4 linked regions of the Struthio camelus genome follow. The protein of the gene in region 3 purifies or fractionates together with the protein of the main gene of each other region. This does not show direct contact. Links are inferred from orthologs where the notes say so. Each region holds a gene or a part of one and is shown on either strand. Other genes may lie near its edges.

Evidence for each region.
Region 1: the proteins of IGF2BP3 (region 3) and ILF2 purify together in Homo sapiens (affinity purification with mass spectrometry; 3 studies listed by BioGRID and IntAct, counting the BioPlex papers as one, with this or other methods). This does not show direct contact. The link is inferred for Struthio camelus from reciprocal best matches to the Homo sapiens genes IGF2BP3 and ILF2.
Region 2: the proteins of IGF2BP3 (region 3) and TRIM25 purify together in Homo sapiens (affinity purification with western blotting; 3 studies listed by BioGRID, with this or other methods). This does not show direct contact. The link is inferred for Struthio camelus from reciprocal best matches to the Homo sapiens genes IGF2BP3 and TRIM25.
Region 4: the proteins of IGF2BP3 (region 3) and G3BP2 purify together in Homo sapiens (affinity purification with mass spectrometry; 3 studies listed by BioGRID and IntAct, with this or other methods). This does not show direct contact. The link is inferred for Struthio camelus from reciprocal best matches to the Homo sapiens genes IGF2BP3 and G3BP2.

Annotation. Positions count from the first base shown.
Region 1 is NC_090971.1:4,679,817-4,687,739, reverse strand, and holds the start of ILF2 (interleukin enhancer-binding factor 2), read right to left. Parts: upstream 3,005-7,923; 5' UTR 2,980-3,004; intron 2,703-2,979; coding exon of another isoform or gene 2,503-2,702; intron 1,615-2,502; coding exon of another isoform or gene 942-1,614; exon of another isoform or gene 889-941; intron 80-888; exon of another isoform or gene 8-79; intron 1-7. Other genes in the region: NPR1 (atrial natriuretic peptide receptor 1), read left to right, coding at 942-1,614, 2,503-2,702, 3,339-3,452, 4,041-4,176, 4,383-4,474, 4,562-4,697, 5,148-5,232, 5,328-5,448 and 8 more. UniProt on the Homo sapiens protein: Chromatin-interacting protein that forms a stable heterodimer with interleukin enhancer-binding factor 3/ILF3 and plays a role in several biological processes including transcription, innate immunity or cell growth.
Region 2 is NC_090960.1:5,481,089-5,488,931, reverse strand, and holds the start of TRIM25 (E3 ubiquitin/ISG15 ligase TRIM25), read right to left. Parts: upstream 3,018-7,843; 5' UTR 2,958-3,017; coding exon 2,340-2,957; intron 1,008-2,339; coding exon 912-1,007; intron 1-911. Other genes in the region: COIL (coilin), read right to left, coding at 6,218-6,307, 6,810-6,898.
Region 3 is NC_090943.1:37,522,367-37,529,649, forward strand, and holds the start of IGF2BP3 (insulin-like growth factor 2 mRNA-binding protein 3), read right to left. Parts: upstream 3,010-7,283; 5' UTR 2,861-3,009; coding exon 2,851-2,860; intron 2,654-2,850; coding exon 2,432-2,653; intron 1,248-2,431; coding exon 1,187-1,247; intron 1-1,186. UniProt on the Homo sapiens protein: RNA-binding factor that may recruit target transcripts to cytoplasmic protein-RNA complexes (mRNPs). This transcript 'caging' into mRNPs allows mRNA transport and transient storage.
Region 4 is NC_090945.1:8,180,532-8,187,360, reverse strand, and holds the start of G3BP2 (ras GTPase-activating protein-binding protein 2), read right to left. Parts: upstream 3,010-6,829; 5' UTR 2,742-3,009; intron 2,377-2,741; exon of another isoform or gene 2,254-2,376; intron 1-2,253.

The sequences.
Region 1 (7,923 bases), on a different chromosome or scaffold from region 3:
GGCAGAGAGCAGAGTGGCGCAGCGGAAGCGTGCTGGGCCCATAACCCAGAGGTCGATGGATCGAAACCATCCTCTGCTAGCTGTTTTGGTCATGTCCCCGCTACCTCTTTTTTTATCCCCCCCGCCGCGGGGCTCTTTCTTTATTAGCCCCTTAATTAATATCATTAATTGCTGCCACCAGCTCTGGGGCTCCTCTGCCCACAGCTGCTGTTTGTCCCCCAGCAGGACGCCCGCCCGGCACCGCTGCGGCTGGCCGCAGCAGCGGGCGGGGGGCGGCGCGGGGACGCGGACGCGGGTGGGGGCGCGGCGCTGCCCCGCGGCCCGCAGCCGCCGTGGGCGCCCGGAGGGGCTGGGCAGGCTCGCGGGGGCCCCGCGCGTGTCCCGGCGGGGCCGGTGGGAGGCGCCGCGCGCGTCCGCGGTGCACGCGGGGCGGCGGCAGGACACGCCGCGCGCGTCCCCAGGGCCGTGGGGTGCGGGGGGGGGGGGATCCCCCGTGCTGGGCGCCCCGCGGGGAGGCGCAGCCGCTGGGTGGTGCTGGGACCCCGCGGGCCGGGCCGGGCGGGGGTCGGGGGGCGGCGGGACGGCGCCAGCAGCCGGCGGAGGCGGGGCGCTCCCCGCCCTGCCCGCGCATGCCGCGAGTTTGTGCGGTCTCAGCCCGGGCGGGACGCGGCCGGCGCGGCGCAGCCTCCCCGTGGGCTCGTGGGCTGGCGGCGCGGCGCCCGCGGCGGGGAGCGGCGGGGCCGGAGCCCGGGGGAGCCCGGGGGAGCCCGTCGGGGCGGCGGCGGCGGGGGCGGCGGGCAGGAAGGGGTTAAGCGCGGCGGACGATAACCGCCCCTTGTCGCCGAGCGGGGGGAGGAAAGGCGCAGCCGGGGCCGCGGTGCCAGAGCCGCGGGCGGCGGCGGCGGCGCGACCCGACCCGACGCGACACGACGGCGCGGGCCATGCTGGCGGCGCTGGCCGTGCTCAGCGCGCTGGTGGCGGCCGGCCGCGGCGCCGCGCTCACGCTGGCGGTGGTGCTGCCCGAGCGCAACCTGACCTACGCGTGGGCCTGGCCGCGCGTGGGGCCGGCCGTGCGCCTGGCCGCCGCCGCCGTCAACGCCCGCGCCGACCTGCTGCCCGGCTACACGCTGCGCTGGGTCTTCGGCAGCAGCGAGGACCGCCACGGCGTCTGCTCCGAGATGGCCGCGCCGCTGGCCGCCGTGGACCTGCGGCTGGCCCACCAGCCCGCCGCCTTCGTGGGGCCGGGCTGCGTGTACACGGCGGCGCCCGTGGCCCGCTTCACCAGCCACTGGCGGCTGCCGCTGGTGACGGCGGGCGCCGAGGCCCACGGCTTCGACGACAAGCGGGAGCAGTTCGGGCTCACCACCCGCGCCGGCCCCAGCCACCGCAAGCTGGGCGAGCTGGGCGTCCAGCTGCACCGCCGCTTCAACTGGACCCGCCGCGCCCTCCTCGTCTACTGGGACGAGAAGATGGACGACCGGCCCTGCTTCTTCGCCGCCGAGGGGCTCTACGTCCAGCTGCCCACGCTCCGCAACCTCACCGTCCTGGACGTGGTCTTCTGCGACAAGGGCAACTACTCCTTCATCATCCAGGAGATCAAGCAGAAGGGCCGCAGTAAGAGCGCCGGGGGCGGGCGGCGGGCGGGGACGGAGCCCCGGGGCCGAGCGCGTCCGTGGGGGCGCACGCGCCTCCCGAGCCCGCCGCGCCGGGCACCCGCGGGGGCTCCGCACCGCCCGCCGCGGCCGCCCCGTCGCGGGCTGGCACCGGCCGCCGGCCCCGCCGGCCAGGCGCTGGGCGCCGGCCAGGCCTGGAGCGCCGCCCGCCGCCCGTTATCGCGGCCTCGGGGCCGGGGCACTTCCCTCTTTCCGGCCGTTTTCCCGGGGCACCGCCTGGCCCGGCCCCCCCGCCCCGGGCTGCGGGGCCGGAGCCGTCGGGGCGCCCCGACGCCGCCGGGGCCGAGCGGGGGCCGCCTGGCACCTGCGAGCGGCCGCCCCGGCCCCATCCCGCCCCGCCGCCCCGGCAGAGCGCGGGCAGCCGGCACCGCCGGGATACGTCCCCGCCGGCGAGCGGAGGAGGAAACGGAGTCGGGAAAACAGGAAGGCCGGGCGCTGGCGGAGGGCAGGGGTCCGGCGGCGGCACGTGGGGCGCCGGAGCGGGATCGGGGCCCCCTCACGCCCCGCTGCGCCCGGGGGTCCGCGGCCCGGCCCCGGCGCTCATTCCCTCCCGCATCGCACGGAGCCGCGGGACGCGGGGACCCCCCGGAGGCCGGGCTCGGCCCTGGGTGCCCCGGCCGGCATGGGGCCGGGATGGGGCCGGGAGGGTCCGGCTGCCCCGCGGAGGGGGGACGCTCCGGAGCCGTCCCCGCTGCTCCCGCGCTGCCGGCGCCGGGCAGGGCCGTAAATCCTGCCCCGGGCTCGGCCGAGGTCTGCGGCTTCCCGCGAGGGGTCGCGGCCCGACTCGGCGTCGGGGGGCCGCCGCCATGAGCCGTGTCGCCCCGCGCAGTCGTCTACGTGTGCTGCGCCCCGGACACGCTGCGGGAGCTGATGCTGCAGGCCTGGCGCGAGGGGCTCACGCGCGGCGACTACGCCTTCTTCTACATCGACATCTTCGGGGCCAGCCTGCAGGGCGCCCGCTTCCCCGAGCCCCAGCGGCCCTGGAAGCGCGGCGACCGCGACGACGCCAGCGCCCGGCAGGCCTTCGAGGTGAGCCCCGCGCGCACGCGTGTGCCCGTGCGTGCGCCCGCCTGCTCACAAGCATGCATACGTGTGCCCTTGCACGCACCTGCGCACCCGCAGGCATGCACACCTGCAGGGACACGTGCACCAAGGCATGCAACCGTGCATTCACAGGCATGCACACGGGTACCGAGGCATGCAACCGCACGCTCACAGGCATGCACACCTGTGTGCACACGGGTACCGAGGCATGCACACCCGCCTGCACACATGCACCCGTGCGCTCCCAGGCACGCACACCCACCTGCGCGCCCTCTTCTCCCCTGCACAAGCCCTGCCTCCTGGCTGCAGCAAGCGGGGCCTGGCGCGGAGTCGGGGTGGGCGCTGGAGCCGGCGGAGCAGCCCGGCCTCCCCCGCCAGCCCTACCCGTTCGCTCCCCGCGCCTGGCAGCTAACGAGGAGGAAGGAAACGAGATTAATTTCCCCAGGTCCCAGCTCTGGCCCTGCCTTGAACGGAGGCTATTAATAGGCAGGGCGGAAAGCCAGGCTTCCCCGGACCCCGGGGCGCGGGGAACCCGTCCCGGAGGGGCCGTGCAGGGTGGCTGGGGCAGGGTGGCTGGGGCAGGGTCCCCGTCCCCTCCGCTCCCAGCCGCTGTCCCCCCAGGCCGTGACCATCATCACCTACAAGGAGCCCGAAAACCCCGAGTACCGGCCCTTCCTGGCGCGGCTCAAGGAGGAGGCGCGCACCCACTTCAACTTCACCATGCACGATGGCTTGGTAGGGCCAGGGTGGAGCTGGGGATGGAGGGGACGAGGGGACGCGGGAGGGAGCTGGGGATGGAGGGGACGAGGGGACGCGGGAGGGAGCTGGGGATGGAGGGGACGAGGGGACGCGGGAGGGAGCTGGGGATGAAGGCGACGAGGGATGGAAGGGACGAGGGATGGAGCTGGGGATCGAGGGGACGAGGGATGGAGCTGGGGATGGAGGGGATGAGGGGATGCGGGATGGAGCTGGGGATGGAGGGGATGAGGGGACATGGGATGGAGCTGGGGATGGAGGCGACGAGGGATGGAGGGGACGAGGGATGGAGCTGGGGATGGAGGGGATGAGGGGATGCGGGATGGAGCTGGGGATGGAGGGGACGAGGGGACATGGGATGGAGCTGGGGATGAAGGCGACGAGGGATGGAGGGGATGTGGGATGGAGCTGGGGATGGAGGGGACGAGGGGACATGGGATGGAGCTGGGGATGGAGGCGACGAGGGATGGAGGGGACGAGGGATGGAGCTGGGGATGGAGGGGACATGGGATGGAGCTGGGGATGGAGGGGACAAGGACCCCGTCTGAGCCGTCTCCATGTCCCCAGATGAACTACATCGCAGCAGCCTTCCACGACGGGGTGCTGCTCTACGCCCAGGCCGTGAACGAGACGCTGGAGCGGGGCGGCTCCATCACCAACGCCACCGCCATCACCCGCCAGATGTGGAACCGCACCTTCTATGGTGGGCGCCCGTCCCCGTCCCCATCCTCATCCCAGCCCCATCGCGGCCCCGGCAGGGCTGGGTGCCGCCTGCCCGGCGCCTGCCTGCCCCGCTCCCAGGCTGATATTTTGGGATCGGAGCCGCCGGGATGGAGATTTACAGCCCTGGGAGCGCTGGCGCCAGCGTCCCTGCGCGTCCCCCCGCGTCCCTCACGGCTCCGTCCCCAGGCGTCACCGGCTTCCTGAAGATCGACGAGAACGGGGACCGGGAGAGCGACTACTCCCTGTGGGACATGGACCCCGCGCGGGGCGACTTCCAGGTGAGCCCGGCCCCGGCACGGGGCGCCCGGTCCCCCCGGGGCCACCGGGGACCCGTCTGCCACCGCCTCTCTCCCCCCCCGCGGCAGATCGTGGCCAACTACAACGGCACCACCAAGAAGATCCACATGGTGCCGGGGCGGGAGATCCTCTGGCCGGGACACGTGGTGCCGCCCGACGTGCCGCCCTGCGGCTTCGACAACAGCAACCCGCTGTGCCGCAAAGGTGAGCCCGGGCGCCGGGGTGCCGCGCCGTGGGGTGTCGCGCCGTGGGGTGCCGTGCTGCTGGGATCCTGCACCATGGGGTGCTGTGCCGTGGGGTGCTGCGCCACTAGGGTCTTGCATTGTGGGGTGCTGCGCTGTGGGGTGCTGCACCGTGGGGTGCTGCACCACCAGGATCCTACACCATGGGGTGCTGCACCATGGGGTGCTGCACCACCAGGATCCTGCACCATGGGGTGCTGCGCCATGGGGTGCTGTGCCACCAAGGTCCTGTACCACCAAGGTCCTGCACCACAGGGTGCTGCGCCGTGTGGTGCTGCACCACCAGGGTCCTACACCATGGTTCCTGCACCATGGGGTGCTGTGCCACTGGGTGCTGCGCCACTGGGGTCTGCCCAAGCCGGTGGGCACCGTGCCCGGTGCAGCCCCTCACCGCTCCCCTCTTCCTTTGCAGCCAATCTGTCCACCCTGGAGATCCTGTCCCTCGTGGTCAGCCTGATCCTCCTGGCCATCACCGTCACCTCCTTCTTCATCTACAGGTGCGGGGCGCGGAGCGGCGCCGGGGGTGCGGGAGGGGGACGGTGCCGCGGGCCCCGGGGTGCCCGCGGGGCCTCACCCTGCCCTGCCGGCGCAGGAAGCTGCAGCTGGAGAAGGAGCTGGCGGCCGAGCTGTGGCGGGTCCGCTGGGAGGACGTGCAGATGAGCAGCCTGGAGAAGCACCTGCGCAGCGCCGGCAGCAAGCTCACCCTGTCGCTGGTGAGAGCCGGGCGGGCGCCCCGGGGCCGGCGCGGGGCGCGGGGCATGGGGCCGGCCCCGGGCTCACCCGCGCTCGCTTCCCGCAGCGGGGCTCCAACTACGGCTCGCTCCTGACCGCCGAGGGGCAGTTCCAGGTCTACGCCAAGACGGCCTATTACAAGGTGTGGGGCCGGGGAGGGGGGGCGGCGCGGGAGCGGGCGGCGGGCACCCGCCGGGCACCCACCGCCCCGCGTCCCCCCGCCCAGGGCAACCTCGTGGCCGTGAAGCACCTCAACCGCAAGCGGATCGAGCTGACGCGCAAGGTCCTGTTCGAGCTGAAACACGTAGGTGCACGCCGGCTCGCCGCCTCTTTTGGGGGGCCGGGACTCCTGGGTCCCTTGCTCCGGGCGCAGGCTGATGGCAGGGCCGTGGGGAGGGGGAGCGGGGTGGGGGGGGTCCCCAGCGCGGGGCAGAGCCCCACGCGCCGCCTCCGCCCTCAGATGCGGGACGTCCAAAACGAGCACCTGACCCGCTTCGTCGGCGCCTGCACCGACCCCCCCAACATCTGCATCCTCACCGAGTACTGCCCGCGCGGGAGCCTGCAGGTACCGGGGCGGGCGCCCGTCACCCGGCGTCGGGGCTGCGGGCGGGGGGCTCCCCTGGGGGGACTCCCCTGGCCCCGCGGGGAGGCTCTTTGCAGAGCGGGGGGCCGGGGCCGGCGGTGTCACCCCCCGCGTCCCCAGGACATCCTGGAGAACGAGAGCATCACGCTGGACTGGATGTTCCGCTACTCCCTGACCCACGACATCGTCAAGGTAAGGAGCCGGCCCCCCGCCGGGCGCCCGCGGCCCCCCGGGCGGGCGCTGAGCCGCTCTCGGCCCCACCAGGGGATGCAGTTCCTGCACAACGGCGTCATCGTGTCCCACGGAAACCTCAAGTCGTCCAACTGCGTGGTGGACAGCCGCTTCGTGCTGAAGATCACCGACTACGGGCTGGAGAGCTTCCGCGTGGCCCCCGACAGCGAGGACTCCCACGCGCTCTTCGCCAGTGAGCCCCCGCCCCGGGGGGGGTCCCGCTCGCCCGGACCCCCAGCACCTGCCCTGCAGGGGTGCTGCTCACCCAGACCTCGAGCACCAACATTGGGGGGGTCCCTGGTCGCCCCCCAGGACCTGCATCGGGGGGTGCCCCTCACCCAGACCTCCAACACTGAGGGGGGTCCATGGTCACCCCCAGCACCCGCGTCAGGTGGTCCCCCTCACCCAGACCCCCAACACCAAAACTGGGGGGGTCCCTGGTCGCCCCCAGCACCTGCGTCGGGTGGTCCCCCTCACCCAGACCCCCAACACCAACATTGGGGGGGTCCATGGTCACCCCCAGCACCTGCATCGGGTGGTCCCGCTCGCCCAGACCCCCAACACCAACATTGGGGGGGCCCCTGGTCACCCCCAGCACCTGCATCGGGTGGTCCCCCTCACCCAGACCCCCAACACCAACATTGGGGGGGCCCCTGGTCACCCCCAGCACCCGCGTCGGGTGGTCCCACTCGCCCAGACCCCCAACACCAACATTGGGGGGGGTCCCTGGTCACCCCCAGCACCTGCGTCGGGTGGTCCCGCTCGCCCAGACCCCCAACACCAACACTGGGGGGGGGGTCCATGGTCACCCCCAGCACCTGTGTTGGGTGGTACCGCTCGCCCAGACCCCCAACACCAACATTGGGGGGGCCCCTGGTCACCCCCAGCACCTGTGTTGGGTGGTCCCACTTGCCCAGACCCCCAACACCAACATTGGGGGGGGTCCCTGGTCACCCCCAGCACCCGCGTCGGGGGGTCCCGCTCGCCCTGACCCCCAACACCAACATTGGGGGGGCCCCTGGTCACCCCCAGCACCCGCGTCGGGGGGTCCCGCTCGCCCTGACCCCCGGCGCCCGCCCGGGGGGTGCGTGACGCCGCCGCCCGGTGCCGCAGAGAAGCTGTGGACGGCGCCGGAGCTGCTGCGGATGGAGGCGCCGCCGGCGCGGGGCACGCAGAAGGGCGACGTCTACAGCTTCGGCATCATCCTGCAAGAGATCGCCCTGCGCAACGGCGTCTTCTACGTGGAGGGGCTGGACCTGAGCCCCAAGGGTGGGCGCCGGGGCCGGGGGGCGCGGGGGGGGCCGGGGGGCAGCGCTGGGGCTGACGGCCCCGCGCCGGCCCCCGCAGAGATCGTCGAGCGGGTGAAGAGCGGCGAGCGCCCCAGCTTCCGCCCGTCGGCCGGCGTGGGCTGCCACGCCGAGGAGCTGGGCCAGCTCATGCAGCACTGCTGGGCCGAGGACGCGCTGGAGCGCCCCGACTTCAACCAGATCAAGGTCCAGATCCGCAAGTTCAACAGGTGCCGCCGCCGCCTCCCGCCGGGGCCGGGCGAAGGGGCCGCCGGGCGGACCGCCGGGCGCTCACCCCCTGCCCGCCCGCAGGGAGAGCGGCGGCAACATCCTGGACAACCTGCTGTCGCGCATGG
Region 2 (7,843 bases), on a different chromosome or scaffold from region 3:
CAAATAGATGCTAGTTTCAAAAGAACAATTTGTGGGCAAAGAAGTACTACAACTACAAGAGAAAACCAAGTCTTTGAGGAACATGTAGACTTCAGTTACCTGAAGTAGGTGATAGAAGAGCTATGTATTTCTGTGTAGTTTGGAAGGAAAGCTCATTTACTCCTAAGCAAAGACAGTTCTCCGTCTCCACATTCCTATTTCGCAAGGGCTCCTGGACACAAGCCAGGCAAGCCGTGCCATCTAGTGGTTAGAAATCACCAGCAAACTGGAACTAGGTTCTGCCAGTCTGGAGCGTAGACACCACACACCCACTTGCGTAACTGCAGTTATTTCTGCCTCATGGACGTGGTTTGAGACAGTCCTGCTTGACACAGAGTTCTTCCTGGTCCTCCAAGAGACATCCCAGAGGAGCACAGATGTGCTACCCTGGCAGCTTTTCAGTTTCTTGGTCTCCACAACTCAATTCAGAAAGGATGGTACAAGTGAGGCAGTCATCACATACAACAACCCCAATCATCATGCAAGAGCAAGGATTTCTGCTCAAGTAAGAGAGACTATCTGTGTAAATTTAGGGGAAAGAGCCATCCCAAATCTCTTTACTGGTGCAGCCATTCCAGTTCACCAGTCCTTTAGCTTGAGCTGCACAGATGCACACTTTCCAGTGCAACAAAAATTGATGGGTTCAAGCCCTGCTATGGCATGGGCCTGTGAGCATAAAGCTCTTGTACAGCTAGTTGGGTTTGCTCCCATCTGCCACAGAGCTGCCTGACTGCCAAAAGGGCTATTTTCTGTTCCTTCCCAACACAGAGTCCTCCTGACACTGCAATATGAATACTAGAGCCGTTGTCACAAGGGTACTAGTATCCACAACAACTGGGTAGCATTTTGAATAGAAAGAGTTGCCCACTTACAGCAGCTTGGCTTTGGTTTGTCTTCACAACGTTCATTGCTCGAGCAGCGCTTTCGCTCTGATGATGCAGCTCTGTCAGTCTCTTCTTCAGCGCTGACTGCAATAGAAAAGATCAGAAGATATTTCAGTGAAGCAGCGGCTGTGCGTGTTCTTGGTCAGGTCATGCTTTTTGGAGTGAAAATCAAATTTATAGAAAGTTTTAACTAACCACTGTGTAAGTATTAAGTACTACAGATTTAAAACATGCTGTTCCTTTAACCTCACAGGACACGAAAATATTCTGTTTGTGTGTAGTTTGTGAAGCAAGCACTCTTCCCACATCGCCACACTCTCCAAATAGCAAGGCCTATGGTGTTGGCTCATTCTTTTGATAAGGACTAAATACTTCTATCAGCACAGCAGTTGTCAGTGCTAAGAATGAACTTTACCTTAGGTTGGACTTTGGGCTACAGGTTAATGCTACCTTTTACCTCTCTCTTTAATAGAGAGTTTTATCACTCAAATGTAAATTATCTATTCCTTTAATTCAGGATGCTGCTAAGCAAAATCAGGGAGGACATCTTAGGTTAACACGCTTAGGTTGTACACACCAGCTGGAGGGATGGGAGTTTGTGCACCTAAACTCAGTGCCTCTAGTTTAGATTTTTCAAGTGTGCTTTACTCCTCTCCTCCCCCCCCCCTGACTTTCAGCAATGCTGTAAGATATCAGGGCTGGGTTTCCTTCCCTTCCACTCCACAGAGAACGCTGCTGCCACCACCACCGCCAGCTCCTGGTTTTGTTCAGCATGTACTAGAGCTCCCCCGGCTACTTTTATAATTCTTCACTTGGTAAGAACAGCGTGGAACAGCGCGTGTCGACAGTCACGCAGTAAGCCTGTGGTAAGGCCACACAGCAAAGCCTGTGTAGTGAGTAAAACACTCACTCGGAGCAGGCGCTGAGTTACACGTTAATGCCTGCACACAATACACAGTTCAGTCACGTAACCCCTGCTGCCAACCACAACAGCCCCTGGTGCTCTCCAGAGCACACAGACGAGAGCACTTGCCATTCAGTACAACTGCACATCTGAGTCTGTCCGTCAACTCTGCGATAGCATCTTCCCAAACCCAAGTCCCTAAAGGCCACTAGTCCAATCTTGGAGAGAGGGGAAAAGTGCGAGAAACGACTCTTAAGACACACTCACAGCACACATTGGAAGGCAGATAATAATTTGGCAAGACCAGATACAAAATTTATAAGGCAGGTCTTGGTCCAGGCTACCCCAGCACTCTTTCTTTGCAGCCCATGACCCGCAGTGCATGGAGACCTGCTGGGCTCCAGGGGAGCAAAGGGAAGCACCGCGATGACCCTCTCTGTATTTCAGGGCATGCCAACATCGTGGATCAGGGCACACTGGGATGAGGCCCTGCACCCGCCCCGCTCACTCACCTCGGCCTTCTCTTTGGCCTGCTGCAGGGGGCTGCTGTGACACAGCTTGTGGCTGAGGAGGCAGGTGGAGCAGATGCAGGTGGCATGCTCCCTGCAGAAGAACTCCAGGAGCCTGTTGTGGTCCCTGCACTTCCTCTGCTGCAGATCCTGCAGGGGCGGGCACAGCTGGTGGTCGCAGAAGGCCGGGCTGTCCTGGTGGGGCCGCAGGTGCTCCAGGCAGAAGGAGGCCATGCAGGTGAGGCAGGTCTTGGCGGCAGGTGCCTGCAGGCAGCTGTCGCAGGGGACGGGGCCCGCGGCCGCGCCGTAGCCTGCCACCTCCCCATCAGCCTCCACTTCGGCCTTGGCCTTGGTGCAGCTGCCCTGGAGCTGCTCCACCACGCGGCACAGCACCGTGTTCTTGCGCAGCGTCGGGCGGCCAGCGAAGCTGGCCCGGCACTGCGGGCAGCTGAAGGCCTGCGTCGGCTCGGCCCAGGTGAGCTCCAGGCAAGAGGCGCAGAAGTTGTGCCCGCAGGGCACCGTCACGGGGCTGCTGAAGAGGCAGAGGCAGATGGAGCAGGTCAGCTCATCCTCCAGCACGGACAGCGCCGGCTCGGCCGAGGTGTGGGTCAGCGCCGCCATCTCCCTGCTGCCCTGAGCCGCCGCGGGGTAAACGAAACTCGCAGCGGCACTTTCCGGGAAATCACGTGGGGCCCCGTCCAGGCCCGGCCCCACGGGCGAGGTGGCTCGGCAGCCGGTGCTGCCCGGGGCCAGGGCAGCCGCCCTCAGTCACGGACTCTGACTCACTGCTTAGTGATTTAGAGGCAGAAGGGGCAACAGAAGGCATTCAGGGCTTTGGCGGAGGGGAGCACCAGTTCAGGGACTGCCTCTGTAATTTGCTCAAGGGTGGAAGGGTTTCTAGGGGCGGTGGCATGGCTCCACTCGTGGCTGGGCTATCTAAATGAGGACCGTGAAACCTTTGTCAGAGGGAATGCTAACAAACACCTGAAGATACCTGAGAAATGGGTAGTTGACAGTGATTGTAGAAGAAACATTGTTACAGAGATGTATTGTGCTGTATGTTACCAGAGCTGGGACTAAAGAGCAGCTGTTAATATTCACATTTCTTATTTTTCTGTAGGTGGAAGATGCACTTTTTCCTGGGCTTATCTAGGTTAAGCCACTGTCAACTTTCAAATACTTTGCACCTTCACTTTTATTTTCAGCAGCATTCACCTGATATCTGCTAATGCATATAAAGCAGGAAGGTAAATATATACCTTTACAGTTTTTTGTTTATGGAGCAGAACATGCTTATGGGACATTTAGAGCTCAAATGAGCAATTTAAGTTCATCTTTGTCAAAGGGGACTTAAAATTCTATTTTGAATAAGCACCTACCACTCCTGTTGTCTAAAAACAATGTTTAGCATTAAAAATTACTGAAGAATTTTACCACTTAACTATCAAAGTTATTACTCTCTTTACTTCCTTGCTATCACTTGAGACTTTCTTCATATGCTTCCCGGTTAAATCGGACCCTTTGCCCAGATATCGTGTATTGAAACTGCATTCAAACTTTGAGCATGAAGTCATAAGCAGAGCAGAACAAACTTCTTTTGTACACCCGACTGAGCAAACATCAGACAGCTATTCTCATGCCCTCTACCATGTCTTTGGGTTTAAATGGTTTAGACAATTGTGATTTCACACATCACAATTATAAATATCCCCAATTTCCTATGGAGCTGACACTTGATGTGTTTTTGAAAGGTCTGTAGTCACAGCAGGAAACTCCAGGTCTCTTCCATAGCTGTTGGCTGCCAGCCTCTAGCTGCAGGTGCTCATCATATCTGCAGTGTCCTGCCCAGTTTGTTTGACTTTAGCTTGCTAGCTCAAACATGCACATACCTTTTGAGTCATCAGATTAGTATGATCACTATCACACAAATGAAGAGAAAGGCATGACATAACGAAACTGTGAGTACAGAAGAACTGTTCTACTTATCCAAAATTTAAGATAGAATTTTTTTAAACAAACAAACCCATAACACTAAATTGCACACAAGAGGGTGGCCAAGCATCTCACATGATAGCTGGGACTGTGCCAGTAGAGAGGCCTGCAAAGGAGCCCAAAACCCCAGGGACAGAAAGAAGAAAGCATGAAAGGTTTGTGCAGAGCATCACTGGCTCTCTCTGGGATACACATGCACGTCCAGTCCTATGCTGCATTTCTCACCCATTAACCACTGCCAAGCCCTGCCCCAGCTCCCCAGGTAGGAGGATCCTGTTGTGTGGCTCTCTCAGAGGAGGACAGTGGTGTGACAGGAAGGACAGTCAGCCTTCGCTGTCACAGACTGCATGTGATTTAAACTGTGCGTTGAAACAGTACAGTTTCACACTAACTTGGTAGCAGCGAACAAATAAAACTCAAGGTTTTATCTTCAAAACATTCTCTCTCTGCCGTAATTTGTTTTCAACCATGATCCGATCCTAGAAGCCAGAGGGACTTCAGATCTTAAATCTGTAGCCAAAATGCACTGTAGGCAATGGAGCAAGAGATGAGACCTCCTCTAAAATGCTACAGAAGATTTGCATTTAATGTTTGCAATTTTACAATACATTTTTCATTTCTCATTCTCATTTAAAAAAAAAAACAAAATAAAACAAAAAACCACAACTTTGATCTATTAATCCTGTCTTGGATTGTGCTGAAATGGCTGGGATTTACTTTTTGTCCAGTTTGCAAGACCATCCATACATGAATCCAACTGTCAATTGCTTTAAAATCAATTTTTAACATAAAATAATGGCAACTGAAGAGAAATGCAGCATGGAAATTAAAGTTTTACTCATATATAAGTAATTTTCATGAACAAGACATTTTAACAGGAATAATGCAAAGGTATATCATATTTTAATATAACCATGCATTAGCCAGACAATATATTTTAGTTAAACAATAATGTACAATTTTTCAGGAGTTTGTATCCAGATATTTTTTCCTATCTTCTGCTTTAGAGTCAATTATCTGGAACAAGGATCAACTTAAACTAAGATTACATATTGGCAAAGCACAGTATCTCTCGGGTAGGAGTTCTACCTACTACCTGGATGCCAATAGTGACCAAAGATGTCAGTGAAACGCACTGCCACCACCTGGTGACCCATTCTGGTATTAGGAAGGAAAGAAGAGAGTCGGGACAGACACTTCAGCACTGAAACAGCAAAAGGGTTTGCTGAAAAGTTTCAGAGCCTACACACATTAATACACTGGGACATAATTTTGCCCGGGACTCATGTTATGTTCCACTGGTTCTAGATAAAGTTCTCACTTACCAATACTATTTATCGGCTCTCAAAATTACAGAAGCTTAATATCAATAAATCTTTTCTTGACGTGTTCAAATGAACCCTTTATACAACTACAAAGTCACAGCATTTTTATCGTGCCCTGTAGCTGTGGAGGAAAAGAAAGTGTCTATCAGTAATACTTCAATTTAATTTTTAATGCTGTTTTAAATTATCCTCACAGCGAGTTACCTCTGTATTCCAGTTATACTACTCTAGTTCGGCCAGACAAAGCGGAGCTACTGACAGTACCAGAGAGTCTTACTGTATCTCTTTGAGCAAATTGTTCCAATTTTGCAACTCAGAACCGTAGGACATAAAAATTGTTACTAAGCTTCAATAAAAAAAATATTTCCTATATTAAACAAAGCACTCCTATATTAAATAAAAACATGTCCTAAGGGAAAAAAACAAAGTATTTATTTTTCTTTTGGCATAATTTCATTTAAAAATCATTCATTAAAAATATCCACCAGTGGATCTGCTGTCTTCAGAACTAGAAGGTAGCGCTTCACGGAACAGTCCATACAGTTATTTACATTTATTCATATCTTAGATTTTTCCATTTTCAGTGCTCAATCCATCAACTGGAGGCTCAACGATCAGTCTCGGCTCTATCAATGCATCCCAACTTTCAGTTATCTGAAAGAAAAATACAGAAAATACTTAGCATGTATAAGCTACATAGGTAGATGGGAATTTCTTCTGCGTTATGCTTTGTCTGGACTTGAACAGCAGCACTACTAAACAAAGATCACAGACTCTTTCTGTGATTTAGGGATCTTCCTAATGACTCTCAAATCTCATGTTGTATTATTTTCTTACCTGCGTCTTTCCTTACCCAGTACATCAAGTGAGTAAGCCTGTATGAACTGATACTCTAGACATATTATTATTTATTTTATTAACCAAAACAAAAAGTTACACAATTTGATGACTGCTTTTTGAACAACACGGAAGAAGTGATTGTTACCTTGTAATCATATGCACTCTCACTAGAAAGGAGCAATTACTTTTGTTTTTACGTATTTTCATCAGATGCACTATAAAAGAAATCTCCCTGAAATGAACAGCATCATAAATCAGGGAACATATCATTAATGTGAAAAATCACTACAGTCTTCAAAACAAGACAGTCACGTACCTTTGTATCCTGAGAAACAGCGTACTCTATCAGCTCAGCTCCATCTGCAGACTGGTAAACCAGATCGAATTTCCCTGGCTCTTTAGCCACTTAAAAGTTTAAAAAAAAAAAAAAAAAAAAGAGAGAGAGAGAAGGAGAGAGAGAGAGAGAGAAACAACACAAAAGAAAAAATACCCCAATTCAGTTAACCATAAACAAGAGGACATACATTTTTACAACATTTAGAAAGCTAGTCAAGCACGGTTTTTCAGTGATTACTCCAAACAGCTGCAATAATTCATGTCCAGTGGTTCAGAGAATCAGCTGAGCTACATGACTTTGTATCTGTGTTATGCTTTATCATACTCAACATAGCATCAGCTCCTTACATTTGTAATTTATGTGGGTTGAGACTGCTCTTTAATATCTTTTGAGTTCAAAACTTACACCACATCCATAATGTTTATAATGGTAAAGAAAAATCTTGAGACAGAACTGAATTTTACAAACCAAAATTAAAGTAATTATCTAATCACTACAGTGCATAGAGGAAAAGCTTATTGACAATCTGCTACATAAATTTGAGAAAAAAGTTCATGGGATGATGATTTATTAATGCTGGTTTAAATGGCAACAGCAGTATACACACGCATAATTTCAGGTCTTTGAAGTGTGTTTTGTCACTATAAGGACTCAGTTCCACATTCAATGAAGACAGCGGCTTCACGGACTTCACAAAAACAGCGTCAGGACCTAAAATTTTCTCCGTAATTCTGTATAATTATTTTAATCTTTCAGGATATGAAACAACAGTTCTACCTGGAAGTGAGTTACTGTTGCTCATACTGACTGAACAAATTGAATTTTGCAAATATATACGAACAGCTTCAAGAACGAGCAAGTGTCAAACCTTCTGTATTTAAGCAGATTTGGGGGGGTGTAGGGAGTGAGAAGGAACCTGAGGAAACTGGAAATATTCCTGAAACAGGAAGTTTGCCTCAGAACCATCGTCTTCCAGGAACATATGTGACAAGAGCCGTTCAGCATCCTAGGGT
Region 3 (7,283 bases):
ATCATGTATAATAAAGAATAGGGCATATAATGTATTAATTTCTCGTGCAAAGTATCAAATAAATATAACTATAAAGATTAACATGCTAAGAATTGGTCCAGAGAGGTCCAATTGCTAAATCTAGACCATAAAAAAGTCTCCATGTTTTCCTCAAACGAAGCCTTCCTTCAACACTAAATAAACCTTAAACTTCTAATTCTCAAAATACCAAGATTTAATTCCCAACAAAACAGCTTTTCAAATCAATTATTTTAGATAGACTGTGCTTTTAAAAATAACTAGGAAATAGTAGGAGCCCCTGCTAATAAAGTTGTACAGACAGACATACTTCCCAGATTGAATAATGGAGGGCAGGAACAAGCACGTGGAAAGTTTGATCTATTTTGCTATTACTCTCTAGTGCACTCCAGCTTTTCTATAATCTAAACATTTGTGAAAAAGGCAGACTGAATTGCTGTAGGCAGTTTAAAAATACTACCCTGCTGTCTTGCAAGTATTGCTTCTTTAAATGAGGCCCACAAAATTACTACTTCGTAAAAATTAAACATACATTTCGAAATTAAGGATGCATAAATCCTGTCCTTATTGGGATGGAGTCATTCTCCTTCTGCTTCTATATTCCAGCTCAAAATAATGATGAAAAATCCTCTCAAATACAGATGAGAGTTATGCTATATGCCTATAAAACGCTGCAGACTCCAACATGGCAGGATCAAAAATATGTATACCAGTGTATTTACAAGATGCTTTTTGTTGCTGGAGCGAAGCTCATGTGCTTGCCCGTTATACAGTTCAAAACACCACATTTCATTTCCTGCTAACGCCCAGATTTTAACTCTTCTCAGGAACTTTAAATTTTAAAATCTTAACAATCACTTGCCATCTCGCCATAACCCGCTTCTGCTAAAAAAAAGGGCTTTTTTCTTAAAAAAAAAAAAAAAAAAGTATATGTATATTTATATAGATTTACTTCCCCTGTAGCCTGGCCAATATAGTACATTAGGAATACATAGGGTGATTCTGGAAAACCTCTAGGATAGCACAGAGAGCACATTTGTGGGTTGAAGAAAGCAGCCCAATCTCTCTATACGGAAGAGAAACACGAACCTAAGCATTTTTTAAATTGCTTCTGCCTGGATAACTAACTGAGGGCAAGGAGAGGGAAGGCAAAAAAAAAAAAATTTACCTTTGTCTTTTAGGGACTGAATGTTCAACTTCTATGAGTTTCCCATGCAGTTCCACTTTACCTGCCGAGATAAGCAGAGGGGGGGAATATTTCAGCGCGGCCGTGCGTCCCCATCCGCCCGCCCGGCTCCGCGGCGGTGCAGCGCAGGAAATCCGCGTGCAACACGTTTCAGCCCATTCATTAGCGGCGCGGGCAGCGGCCGAGCGGCCCCGCGGAGGTAACAAAGCCCGGCCCGCGGCCGCGCTCGCCGGCGGCGGCTGCGCCCGGCGGGGCCCTGCCTGCCTCCCGGCCCCGGCCTCGACAGCCACCTGGGAAACGCTCCGTGCGACGCCGGGCCGAGCCCCGGCGAGCCCGGTCCGGCCCGGTCCGGCCCGGCCCGGCCGGGCGGCCAGCGGAGCCCGCCGCCCTCCGCTCCGCGCCGCCCCGCGCAGCCGGCCCCGGCCGCCGGGCCTCCAACTTGGGGCGATTCTCCGCAAGGCGGTGGGAGGGCGGCGAAAGCAAAAAATGCAAAATAAATAATGAGGGGAAAAAAAACACCACACGCACACCAAAGCTGTCTTTTCCAGGGGAGCCTCTCCCAGCGGAGCGCCGCAAAGCCCGCTTCACGCGCAAAACCTGCCGTTTTTTTTCTTTAGGAAAAAAAAAAGCACACAAAAACAGGATGTCGGGGCCAGGAGCCGGCGCGCTGCTGGAGGCGGTGATGGGTGCGTGAGAGCAGCAAAGAGAAACCGAAATAAATAGCACGGTAGGGCGGGGGGGGGGGGCAGGCAGGGCTATTCCCCCCCCCTCAAGTTCGGGGCAATTGCGCAGCTCGCCCCCACCCCTGCGGGGGGGAGAAACGCGGCCTGCGCCATCCCGCGGAGCGCCCCAGCCCGCTCGTGGGGGCGGCAGGGGCCGCGGGGCGTGTGTGTGTGGCCGCTGCGCCGCGCAGCGCCCCGCTGCCCCCGGCCGGGGAAGCCCACGCCGCGCGGGCCCCCGGCCGGACGGGCTTTGCCGTGGCGAGTGGAAAAACACGGGCGGCGCGGCGGGGGCCCGGCTGCTGGGCCCAGGCTGCCGCGGGGGCGCGATGGCCGCGCAGCCCCCGCGGGAAGGCCATCCCGCGCGTGGGAAGGGGGCAGCCCGCGCCTCACCTGGCCGCGGGGCCGGGGCGGGTGGGGGGGGGGGGGAGGCAGGGAGCGCCGGCCCCGCCGCCCGCGGCTGCAGCTACGCGGCCGCGGAGCGGCGGGGGCCGTCGAGGCCGCTCACCTGAAAGTGCCTCTATGGCCTTCATCGCCCAGCTCTCGTCGGGGCAGTCGACGAAGGCGTACCCCGTCTTCACCAGGAACTGGCCCGAGAAGGGGATCTTGGAGTCCTTAAAGAGACTTTCCAGGTCGAGGGGGCTGACGTTCTCGCCGAGGTTGCCGATGTAGAGCTTATTCATCTTCCTGGCGGCTCGGAGACACGCGTCCGGCGGCTTACAACCCTCGTCTTGCAAAAGGAGGTGGGGAGGAAGGGGGAAATAAAACAAAATGCGATGGAGGAAGGAGAGAGAGAGAGAGAGAGAGGACAGGAAAAAAAAATCAGAGCTGTAGCTTGGGTCCCTCCCTCCCTCTCTCAAGGGGTAAAAAAAAAAAAAAAAAAAAAAGATGTGACCAAATGGGAGCCCTAAGTGTCTGCCGTGTTACCCGGGCGCATGGGGGGCGCGGGGGAAACACCCAGCGCCGGGGCCGAGGATGGCGGGCTGAGGAGAGGAAAAGGAGGAGGGGAGGGAAAAAACTACTTTTTTTGTCTTGCCCCCAAGCCCCTTTGGCAGCAGCAGGCGGACTATGAAAATGTCACACTACGTGCGTGCAGGCGCCGCCTCTCAATATGAAAAAAAAAAAAAACACACACACACAGAGAAGGGGAGGGAGGGAGAGAGGAAAAAAAAAATTACTTGAATATTCCGGCTTTTTGAATGAGCCACGTGTTCAAACTACAAATCAACTTCTCACGTGAGGAATCCCAGCTCTTCAATTAGCGAGTAGATGGGGCGCGCGCACACAGGAGGAGCAGGAGGAGGAGGAGGAGGAGGAGGAGGGACGGGGTGAAGGACGGGGGGAGGGAGGCCAGGCAGGACGGGACAAGTTTAGCGAGGGCCGGTGGGGGCTGGAGGGCGGGACCGAGGGGAGCGGGGCCCGCCCGGCGCTGCACCCCCACCCGCACCGCGCAGCGCAGCGCCAGCCTCTGCCCTCCGCCGGGGGAGAGGGGGGGACCCTGCGCGGCGGCACCGCCCCCCGCCCCCCCAAATCTGCCGCGCCTCCCCCGCGCCGCCGGCGCTCGGCCCAGGGAGGGAGGGGAAAAGGCACCGCAGTGCCCGCCCCCGGCCGCGCTGCTCCGCGCCGCGCCGCCCCCGCGGTGCCGGGCTGGGGGGCTGCCGGCGGGGCCGCGCCGCGGGGTGGGAGGGGTGGGGGGGGCGGGGGTCCGCGCGGGCGGGGGGGGGGGGGTCGAGGGTCTGCCGAGGGCGGAGGGAGCCCCGCACGGTACCGTGCCTGCAGCGCGCCGGCGGGCCTTGCGCGGGGCGCGGCGGGGGGAAGGGAAGGGGGCGGGCGGGCGGGGCGGGGGGGGCCGCGCTTGCCTTTAATCGAGTTAATGGTGGATGGCGGCGGCGAGGAGGCGAAGGCACCGTTGCCCTAGGATGGTAACGGCACACAAAGGGATTTGGCGATCCCCCGCCTTCCCCCCCTCCCCCCGGCCCGGTTTAAGGAACCATTCATAATTCTCCACATTTGTAAGGATACAATGGTGGGCTTGTGGGGGAGGGGTCTGGGGGTGTGGAGCCTTTCCAGGGCAAACAAAATGTTGCCTGAAGATGAAGAAAGGATACGGAAATGAAAGCCAGCACTGTATTTAATATAGCGATCTAGTAGGTTTTGTTTAATAATTCAACGCTGCCTTTAGCTGAAGGTTGCATTTGTTCCGTGGTAGACTTTTTGTGGTGCGTTTTAAGAGGTATTCCATGGAAAATAGTTAAATACTTTTATTAGTTAACAGTGAATGAATTTCCACATGTACTGTAGTATGTGTGGAAATCTGTAGTAAACAGAAATGCCTCATACTTTCGTGCCTAACTTCTATAAACTATACCATTAAAGAGGAGGGAATTAACTTACCTTGGGAACTGTGCTATTGACCTTCTTTTGTTATCTGTACTTTGGACGCTGCAGTTAGAATATAGTGTTACGCATGGTTCCGAAAGGACTCAGTAAAGATAGTAAGAAGCTGAAGATTTAGCTTATGGTGGTGTGATGCAAGGAGACATTTCTTACCATGAGGACTGTAGCCTGAAACCCTTGTGAAATTATCACGAAATGGATTAATGTTTCAGTAACTTAGGAATACAGCCCTTTTATTGTGTGCATCCTCATACTTTGCTTACCAAGAAATAAACATTCATAATTTCAACTCGTTGTTTAATCTCAGTGTCATTTTTATGAACTTTTGTCAGCTTGTAATTGAAAAAGTGAACATTTTGTGCTCCACTCCTCAGAATTTAAGCACAACTTCCATTTTGTAGAGAATGCAAAAAATTATCTTGGGGATAGAGGATTTTTTTTTTTTCTCCAGTATTAACCCATCTACAACCCTTCCATTCTGGATGTGGCATTTTTCTTAAAAGAATTCATATTTCATTATCTCATCCTGTGTAATCTGGATTAAAAAAATTGTGCAAGTCAAAAACAGTCCCCTCCAAACTACTGAATTCTTAGTGAAACTTGTGAGAGGAAATTGTCACTGTTCTTGTAGATTAATTGCATTCTTTACAAATTTCATTTGTCCTGAATTAAAGTCAATCTGCATGTGCTTATTTCTACATAGTGGGTCTATGGTGTTATCTGGTATTTCCTCTTAAAACTGTTAAAGAGAGTGCATATAAATTTAATTTTCTAGTTTATATACTTGTTTTGTTGGAAATTATTTTTTAAAGAAGTGAAGACTGAGAATTCGTAATAACACTACATACCACTTGTCCAATAACATCATAAAATGCTTGATAACCAAATAATAGAAAAAAACCCTGTTTATTAGCAATCCCTTTCTTCTGATACTCTGAGAACATCTTGCTAATAAGCTGAAACATTTTCTGTAAAGCTACATAATGCATAGCTTTGTTTGTCAAGAAGTGTGGGTTGGTTAGTGGTTTCAAGAGTAAATCCAAATCTTGAATGCCAAAAAAGGCAAATCAACAACAAAAACTTGCTCATGGTGTCTGAAAAATCTCTGCTTCCCTATGTACATAAACATAGTTCAGATCAGCTTGGCACACCCAAATCATAACATTTTTGGGAATACAGTTTTACAATTTGATATGTAATTTATTTTGGCAGTCACAAATTAAATACGTCAGTATACACCAGCACATTCTCATATTAATGCATTTTTCAAGCCTCTTCTGTAAGAAAAAGCTTTATAAAACTTCTAATCTTTCTCCATATTTAAAATGTTTATATTTATCATCCACATAAACCAACCAGAAGTTCAAATATTTACATAAATATTCTAAATACGGCAGCAAAACTCATCCTTCATTAGCAGGATCAGCAGTTTTTAGAGCAGGCTGCCATGAGCACTAGGACTCCAACATGTGCTTTCTCCTCCTACGTTCTCTATGAAAGTCTGCAAAGCTCAATCATAGCCATCCGCATCTTTTTCCCCGTCCATTGGCGCACCGTGAACCGCCTCCCGCTTCCCCCCCGCCAAGGCAAAAAAATTAAAAAATTAAAAAAAAAAAAATCCCAACTCCTATCGGGTTTTTTTCGGGATAATAACTCGAGGCATTATCCGCTGTGTTTCTATTTACCATCCAACGTCCTCTTTGGGAACCATGGTTGCCAATGGCAGGCTCTGTCACGGGTGGTGCCAACAAGCGCGTTTCCTCCCAGGGCAGAACCGCGCTCCTCGGCGCAGTTTTGGCGTTACGCGTTGGGAGCTCGGCGGCGGCCGCGGCCAACGAGGCCGGCGGCCCCCGGACCCCGGCCAGGCGCCGCCGCCGCCGCGCGCCGCGCACGGGCCGTTGGCGCCTCCATGTTGCCCTGGGGCCTAACGGCCGCCGCGCGCGGGCCTCGCGGGCAGCCCCCGAGCCTCGGCCCGCCGCCCCCCGCGTGCCCGGGGCCGCGCCGCCGCGGAGCGCTGAGGCCGCCCCTCCCCCGCCCACGCCGCCCGCCCCGGCCTGGCCCGCCCCGGCCTCGCCGCCCGCGGGCAGCCGCCGCCGCCCCTGCTGGCACCGCGGGCGCGGAGCCGCCGCTCCTAGCGGAGCGGCCACGCAAGGCACAGCCGCGTTCCCGCCCTGCCCGTCCCCGCTGCGGGCGGCCCCCTCCGGCCGCGGCCCGGCCCGGCCCGGCTCGGCCCGCTGCGCGGCGGTGGCGGGGAGCCGCCGGCCCCGGGGGCGCGGTGCCGCCCCGCGCGCGGAGCCGCGGGCGGCCATAGTAACTCGTAGTAAGCGGCGCGGGGCGTGGCGCGGCGCCGGCTCCCATTGGCTGCGGCCTGCGCCTACCAGCGCCGCCCGCCGCCTCGGAGCGGGCGCCACTGGCTGCCGGGCGGGTGCGCGCGGCGCCGCGCGCCCGCCCATTGGCCCCGCGCGCCGGCCCCCGCGGCTCGTGGCGCGAAAGCGGCGGCGGCCCCGCGCCGGGGGCGGTTGGCGGCGGTTGGCGGGGAGGGGAGGGGGCGCGGCGCGGCGCTGGCGGGGAGGGGTAGGGATAGGGTACGGAAGGGTGGGGTGGGGTGGGCAGGGGAGAGCGGGGCCGCCTGCGATGCGCTCCCCGCCGAGGGCTGGGGCTTTGTAACGTGGTAAGTGGGTGCCACGCCGCAGCGGGGCCGTTGTCTGGCCGGCTCGGCCGGGCCCTCTCCTCAGCCGGGGGGCGCGGCCGGCCCCGCCCGCCCTCCCGCCCGCCCTGGCCCCAGTGAACGTGCCGGCAGGGCAGCGAACAAAGAGGCGGCGGCGGGTGGGGGGGGGGGGGGAAGGGGCTGCGGGGCCGAGCCGAGCTGGGGAGCGGAGGCAGTGGGGAGCCCAGCCCGCCTCGGCTCGGCTCGGCCCGGCCCGGCCGACGGTGCCGCTGCGGCGCGGGGGCTGAGGCGGAGC
Region 4 (6,829 bases), on a different chromosome or scaffold from region 3:
AAATCCCAAGCAACTGAAACTATCTCCTCTCTTTCACGCTATGCAAGTGCTCAGATCATCCTCCATCAGCAGTGAATGCTAGCAAACCAGTATAATCTAAGAGAATCCCTTTACTTTAGGAACTACTTTGCCTAATCCAATAAAATCTGAATTGGCTGAGCCCCAGGGTGCAACATACAGTTCTTTCAAATCAAGCAGTTGTGTTTTTTGTTGTTTTTGAGAGAAGCTGAATGGCACCACATAGTGTAGGCACAGGACTACTACAAAGGACCATCTTCTGGGCAGTTAAACTGCATCATCCAGAACAGCTAACGCCCACCTGAATAACAATGGCCACTGTCCTCAGTGGCACCACATTTTGTGGTAGCTACTGCAACTCTCTCCCTGGTGGTTACCAGCCAAAGCCAGGGTCAGTGTCCTTCTTCTGACAGTTCATCAGATAGATATATTTTAGTCTGATATATTAAGTCTTTTCACGTGCTCCTTGAGTTGGGATGCAATTCTTCATTTGTCCAATACTCTCAAAAGAAATGACATCCAGTGTCACAAACGCTACAGTAAAAGTGAAGAAGTTCAAAACCGCCTGCGTTAAGATACTGTGTTTCCTCAGCATATTTTCAGCACGGTAAGACACTTCCAGTGTGACAGCAGGTGTAAAATTTGAAATCTCAACTCCATACAAACAGTTTACCTATAAGGACACCAGCGGATCAGTGGGTTGAAAGGTCAGTAACTTCCCTCTCCAGTAAGTTAGCTATCATAGAAGACATTTTACTCTACTTGTGAAAAATAGTCATACGATACGGATCATAATTCCATACAGTGAGCCCACATCTACCACTTAGAACATTACAAGAACACTTAAAACAGGAAACAAGGATTACACTTCTTAAACCCAAGCTAATAGTTTCCGGAATAGGTTCAGAAGAAGGATGTTTCCTAAAGAATGAAAAAGCTTTCCAGAGGCAGATATGGCCCTGCAGGCGTACTTATGTTCAGAATGAACAGAGAACGTCTTGCTAATTACAAATTAACTCCAGAAGCAAAAGTTGCCAGTAACAACACCTTCTTGGCTAAGAATGGAGGTTGACAAACCCTTTACCTACTCACCAAGCTGAGGTAACACAACTATGCTACTCGCAGGGACTTGGATATACAGAGTAGTGCTTGCTTGCTATTACTTCATTTTAAGTCTCCTACAGGCCATCGAGTAGGACAGTGCAGCCTAAATTGCAGAGTAACCATTTCTACCAAGCTGATCTTACTTTACTAGTGCTCCCCAGTTAAAACTGGCAATAAAAGAAACAAGAAAAAGGAAAAGAAGATATACCTCAGGCAACAGTGAGTGCTTTAGTAGGATGTTTGCCCCAAACATCCTACTATGACAAGTTGTCTTTCTCTTTTTACTGGTCCACCCAATTACAGATCAAAGACACTGATCTGGCTTTAAATATGAAGCTTGAGTATAAGAAGTAGTGGACTTGCACAAGTACTGCGCTAAGAACAAAATAATTTATCCTGTTTCTCAAGAGATGAAAACTAGCTTTAGTATCTTTACACTTCCTGTTGTAATGAAGAGGAACGCTTGTACACTGAACTTGAAATGCCTAATATATAATGAGGGCTCAAGAACTGCCAAACCCACATGGAAGGCTACAATCAAAAACCTTGCAGGTTGGAGTCAGTCGGTCTAGCTTCAGATCAAGCAACAATCTCATCTTCTCTCATCCCACAGAGTGTTCTTTCCTTCATGCAGCAGTGCTTGGCACAGCGCTCAAGATCCTAAGCGTTACTCAGCTAACCAGGGAAGTTAAAATACTCATGCTAGAGGACGTTCCTATGTACCCACTCTGGAACTGTAATGACTTTTACTTTACCCATCCAGGATTAAGGGAAGGAAATGCCAGAGAATACCATATTCACCTCAGACGTGAAATAAGAGACGCTCACAAAAGGGCTGCTCAGGGTATCTAGATCTGCAGAATAAAAGATGCTTGCAACTTCAGCCATGTTATGAGTGAGAACAGAAAAGCTCGGGGTGTGATTGGAGCAAAAGGGAGCACAGAATGGCACGGTCCATGGAATTAGCAAGACCTGGGCTGGAAAAGGTTTTAAAGCCAGTGACGCTATCACAGAACCAAACCCTAAAAGGAAAGGGGCAGCCCAGTGAGCTGAGGATAAAAAACTAAGGTCGCTTCTGCAGTACAGACGAGGCTGGGAAACAGCATCCTGTACACGCCGGAGTCCACATACCTCTAGGGGCTCACGGAAGGCAGCGCACGAATCGAGCGACGGGAAGGGATGAAAGGGACGAACGCTGCAGCAGAGCACGAAGCAACGCAGGGCCCGGGGCGTCACGCCTGGGAGCGGCGGCCGAGGGGGCGCTTTTTCCTCCCGCCTCCCGCCAGCGCCCGGGGCGAGGCGGAAGGGGGAGCGCCGCCGAGGCGACGCACCGCCAAGGTGACGGCGAACAAAAGCCTCCCCCCGCGCCCCGCTCCGCCGCCCCCGCCGCGCACCGGGCGACGAGGCGGGCCGGGAGCCGCCGCCGCCGCCGGCCGGGCCCGGGGCCGGGGCCGGGGCCGCACCGAGGCAGGGAAGGGCTCTCGCCGGGCGAAGCCGGGCCCCGCCGCGCCGCTTTCCTCCCCCCCGACCCCGCGCGCGCGCGCGCGGGCCGCGACCGTTAAACGGCCGCGACCGTTAAACGGCCGCCGGGCCTACCTCCCCGCTCGCCCCTCACTCACCCAGGGAAAAAGTCTCGGTGTGTGGGGCGGGGGCACGACCCCCCCCGGGACCTGATCGGTGTCGGGCGCGGCGAGCCTGTCCGCGGGCGGGTGCCGCAGCCGGGGGGAGGGGGGAAGGACGGGGCGATCGGGGCGCGGCGGCGGCGGCGGCGGCGGCAGCAGCAGCGATGTCACGGCCGGGCGGGGGAGGGGCGGCCGGGGCTCCCGTGCGCGCCTGCCTGTGCGTGCGGCCGTGCGCGCGTGCGGCCGTGCGTGCGCGCGTGCGCGCGCGTGCGCAGAGGGGAGGGGGCAAAAGCGAAGGGAGGGGGAGGAGAGCGGGCGCGCATGCGCCGCCGCGCCGGCCGTACTGTCTTGCCCCTGCGTGAGCAGGCAGGAACCCCTTTCGGGCGCTCTCCGCCAATCCCGTGTGGCTTGCCGCGGTGACGTTCGGGGGGGGGGGGGCGCCGGCTTCCCGCCGAGCCCGCGGGGGCGGAACGGAGGTGGGCGGGGCGCGCGCCGACCGTTAGCGGCCCAACGGGCGGCGGGGCTCGGGGCGCGCAGCCCCCCGCGGGGGCAACCGCTTTCCGGCTTCTTGGGCGGCAGAGAAGGCGGTGGGGCGAGCGATGGTTCGCCCGAGTGCCGCTGAGGTGCCTTTTCCTCAGCTGCTGCGGCTTTGCTATAGGAGTTCTTTGTACTGCTTGACTTACGTTTTTTTCTGTTTTGCAGTAATATCAGAAGGGTGTGTTTCTCCAGCAGGTGCTTACTGCGCTGTCGAGTGTGGTGGAGTCGAGGTGGGGGCGTCCTTGGTGTCAGTGCGGCTAAGCAGCGCGCGGGCTTGTTGGCAGTCAGGCTCGCTATGTTCACGCCGGTGTTTTCACCGTTGGCCCCTTTCTCTTTTTGGAGGCTGATTTCAGCTAAATGGTGCAGTGTTTTGCATTTGGCAGGACTCTCCAGCCACCTAATAAATAAGAGGATGCAAATGAAGTTGGACTAAAAGCAGTGTCCCATGCGAAGCTTTCCCCTGTTCATAGCTTGCTTAGTTCAGGATTTCTCAGCAAAATTGAGGAAGCCCTTTTTCAGTATGTGTATTTGAGGTATACTAAAAAAATAGCTAATAGTTCTGAGGTTCAAATATTCAAATATCAACTCAGTAGGCCAGCAGCAAACACAGTTACCTCTGCAGTACCTCCTTCCCAAGGTAAGACAAGCTAGACTTGAGGGTGTGTGCCAGGGCACAGCCAACACCTACTCTGGGAGCAAATCACCTCTTTCACTGAAGCTCTGGATGTAAGGAGCTTGGCAATCAAAATTTCAGTCTTTTAGAAGGAGACCCTTGATTTTTGGTGCCTGTTGCCCAGCTTCAGCATTTTTGATGAGTTAAGTCTTTTCTGCTTGCCACTGGCCTCAGAAAGTACTTTAAACCATCCTCCCTGGCAAGGGCAGGAGGTACAATTTTCCCAAGAGCTGTTACAATCACCACCTGTAACTTGTATTCAGTAATGGAAATGGTATGGACTCTGTGGGGGCATGTGTAAAGGTTGCAACAAAGAAGCATCCTAGGAAAAGAAGCCGCCCAGCAATCCCCGAAGTCTGTGTCAGGCGAAGCGTTTTCTGGAACAAAACTGCCTTTGTCTTAAGGTGTTACTTATTTGCTGTTACAGGTCATGTATATTATCTGAAGTAACTATTTTTTTCTTCCCTTCACTTTTGGTTTTGGTGTCCTATTTGTTTTAAGGTTTCAGCAGACCTTTCTTAACCATTGTGGTATCCAAGGCCCTTTTCTTGAGAAATGCATACTTTTTTTTTTCTTCCCCCCTTCTCTTTTGCTGTTATTGGGCAATTTAGTATGAGAGAGCATCCCAGAAAGTCACAAACTAGGACAGATGCAAATAATGCAGGAGCTGCCTTATGGCCCTGTTTTATAATCACACGTGTTATAAGAGTTACGTTTGTCCTTTTGATTCCACTCTTGGATATAGGCAAAAAGCGAAGGCCTGGTTACAGCTAAATTTTGTAAAGCCAAATTACCGCGAGGAAGTGAGCAAATAGTTTGTAATGGCAAAGGCCTTGCAGATCAGCCCCTCTCACCCCAGTGCAACCTGCAGCACTGCACTGGGTGGGAAGAGCAGAGCTAGGCCAGCATTAGATGTGTCCTGCTAATGCACATCAGCCTTTTCCTGCTTTGGCCCGGGAAACTGCTGACACAACCCTGTTTGCTATAAAACATCCTGCCTGGCTTTTGTTACCAGGTGAGCAGACCTCAGCAAATGATATTCCTGCTGCCCAGCAAGCTCGAAATCTTCTGCTCCCCATGCCAGCTGATAGCCATACAGGGAAGGCCAGGCTGTCTTACACTGCTTTATTCCATCTACCAGCGGAAAAGAAAATGTGTGGTCAGCTTTAAGGTTTCAGTACAAGTCTAGTGTCACAGCAAAGCACCCTGGAAGTTGTAGTTTCAGAGAAAGCTGGGGCTTGGGAGTCCTTCAGGGAAGCTCATGCTGGAGAGAAGGCAATTGGTTAGTAGGGGCGTCTTTCTCCAAGAGGGAGAATGCAGTGCAGGTGAAGGATGAATTGCAAGTGTGTGTTTGTTTAGTTTTGCGGAAATGAGAAGTACGTGTCCTGTGCCTTCTCTTTATTAGATTGAGACGTTTGCCACATCCAAAAGCCTGTGTAGCTCCCTGAGGACTGGGGGTGATTATGGCTTACCTTTCTGTCATTATGGAAATGTAGTTATCAATGAATAAAATTGTTTCACTGAAGCCTGTTTTGGTATGATTTTTGTGATAGCAAATCTTTTTGACAAATATATTGGTTTTGGTGCCTCCGTGTAGATGGAGGAGGAAGCCGTGATTTAGACAATTAAAATGCTTTATTTTGACTTGATATCCAAGTATTGCTGTTAGTGTTTTTTTTTCCATCTTTTCCTTTTATGTAGTAACACGTAAGTCGAAAAATTTAAGGAAAGAGCAAGTTATCTCACTTCACTTGCAGTGTTTAGTTTCGATTATGCATTTCAATCTAAATGTGTGTTAATTCTTCAGCTGATGGGGGGAGAAGAAGAACCCAAAAGCTCTCACAGAAAAAAGGTTACGTGGTCCACTAAAATATATTCAGAATTACAGCAGATACGTGGAAAGCTGGTTTGCTTGTTTCATAATGTTTTAGTATAGCTGACCTTATGTGTAACTCTGGAGATAGAATGCACTTGTATGGCTGAGGATCCCATCTTGGTCTAGCAGAAGCCAGCTGTCCTAAGCCTGGGACGCAAGAACAGGAGGACATATTCCCTATTGTGGGGACTTCATAGTCACAGACAGCTGAGTGTAAAATGCTGATAGTAGGAATAAATTTAGGGATTGGGGTGGAAGGGGAAGACTGTACAGGCTTTCTCTTTGGAAAAGAAGGGAGTTTTCTCCCTGAAATTAAATGAGCAACTGTGCCATGAATTCAGTGAGTAGAAAGTGACAAACAGTTGTATGTGTTACCTTTGTTTCATGGGGAAGGGTCTCCTAAAAATACGTTAGAAACAACCCTAGCCTATTTTAGTCGGTTAAAAATAGATTACCGTGTTAATTTAACAGTAAGTACTTTAAGACCTCAGTATTGAGCTAATAATTTCAGGAAGCAGTAGCAGTTGTAGCAGATGATTACCTTAGAGCTGTAAGGTCCTAATTTAGTCCTAGTCTGGAAGTGTATAGGCCACACATCTAAATAGCAAGTTGCTTTCATTCCAAGGCAATTTAAAAACAGAATATGGAAATCTAATGTTCCAGTGACAACTTTTAGTCTCAAGTAAAATTAGCAGTTCCTTTCTGTGTTCATTTGCTACTCTAGCTATAAAATATTGCTGTTGTTTGATATGCAAGTGCACAGAGGAAAACCCAAACCAAAAATTCCATCAGTAACTAGGAGGGAAACACTAGACTGGAAGCTGGTATGCAGATAAAATGCCTTGTAGATGACGGGGGGACTTGATTCACTTGGCGCACTGCTGCTTGGATATTGTTCCTCAGCGTGGAATGCAGAAACGCCTACAAGAGCACCATCCAATGAAGGAAACTTCAGCATCTGAAAGAGATGTCACTATCTGTTGCTCTGCTCTTAGACTG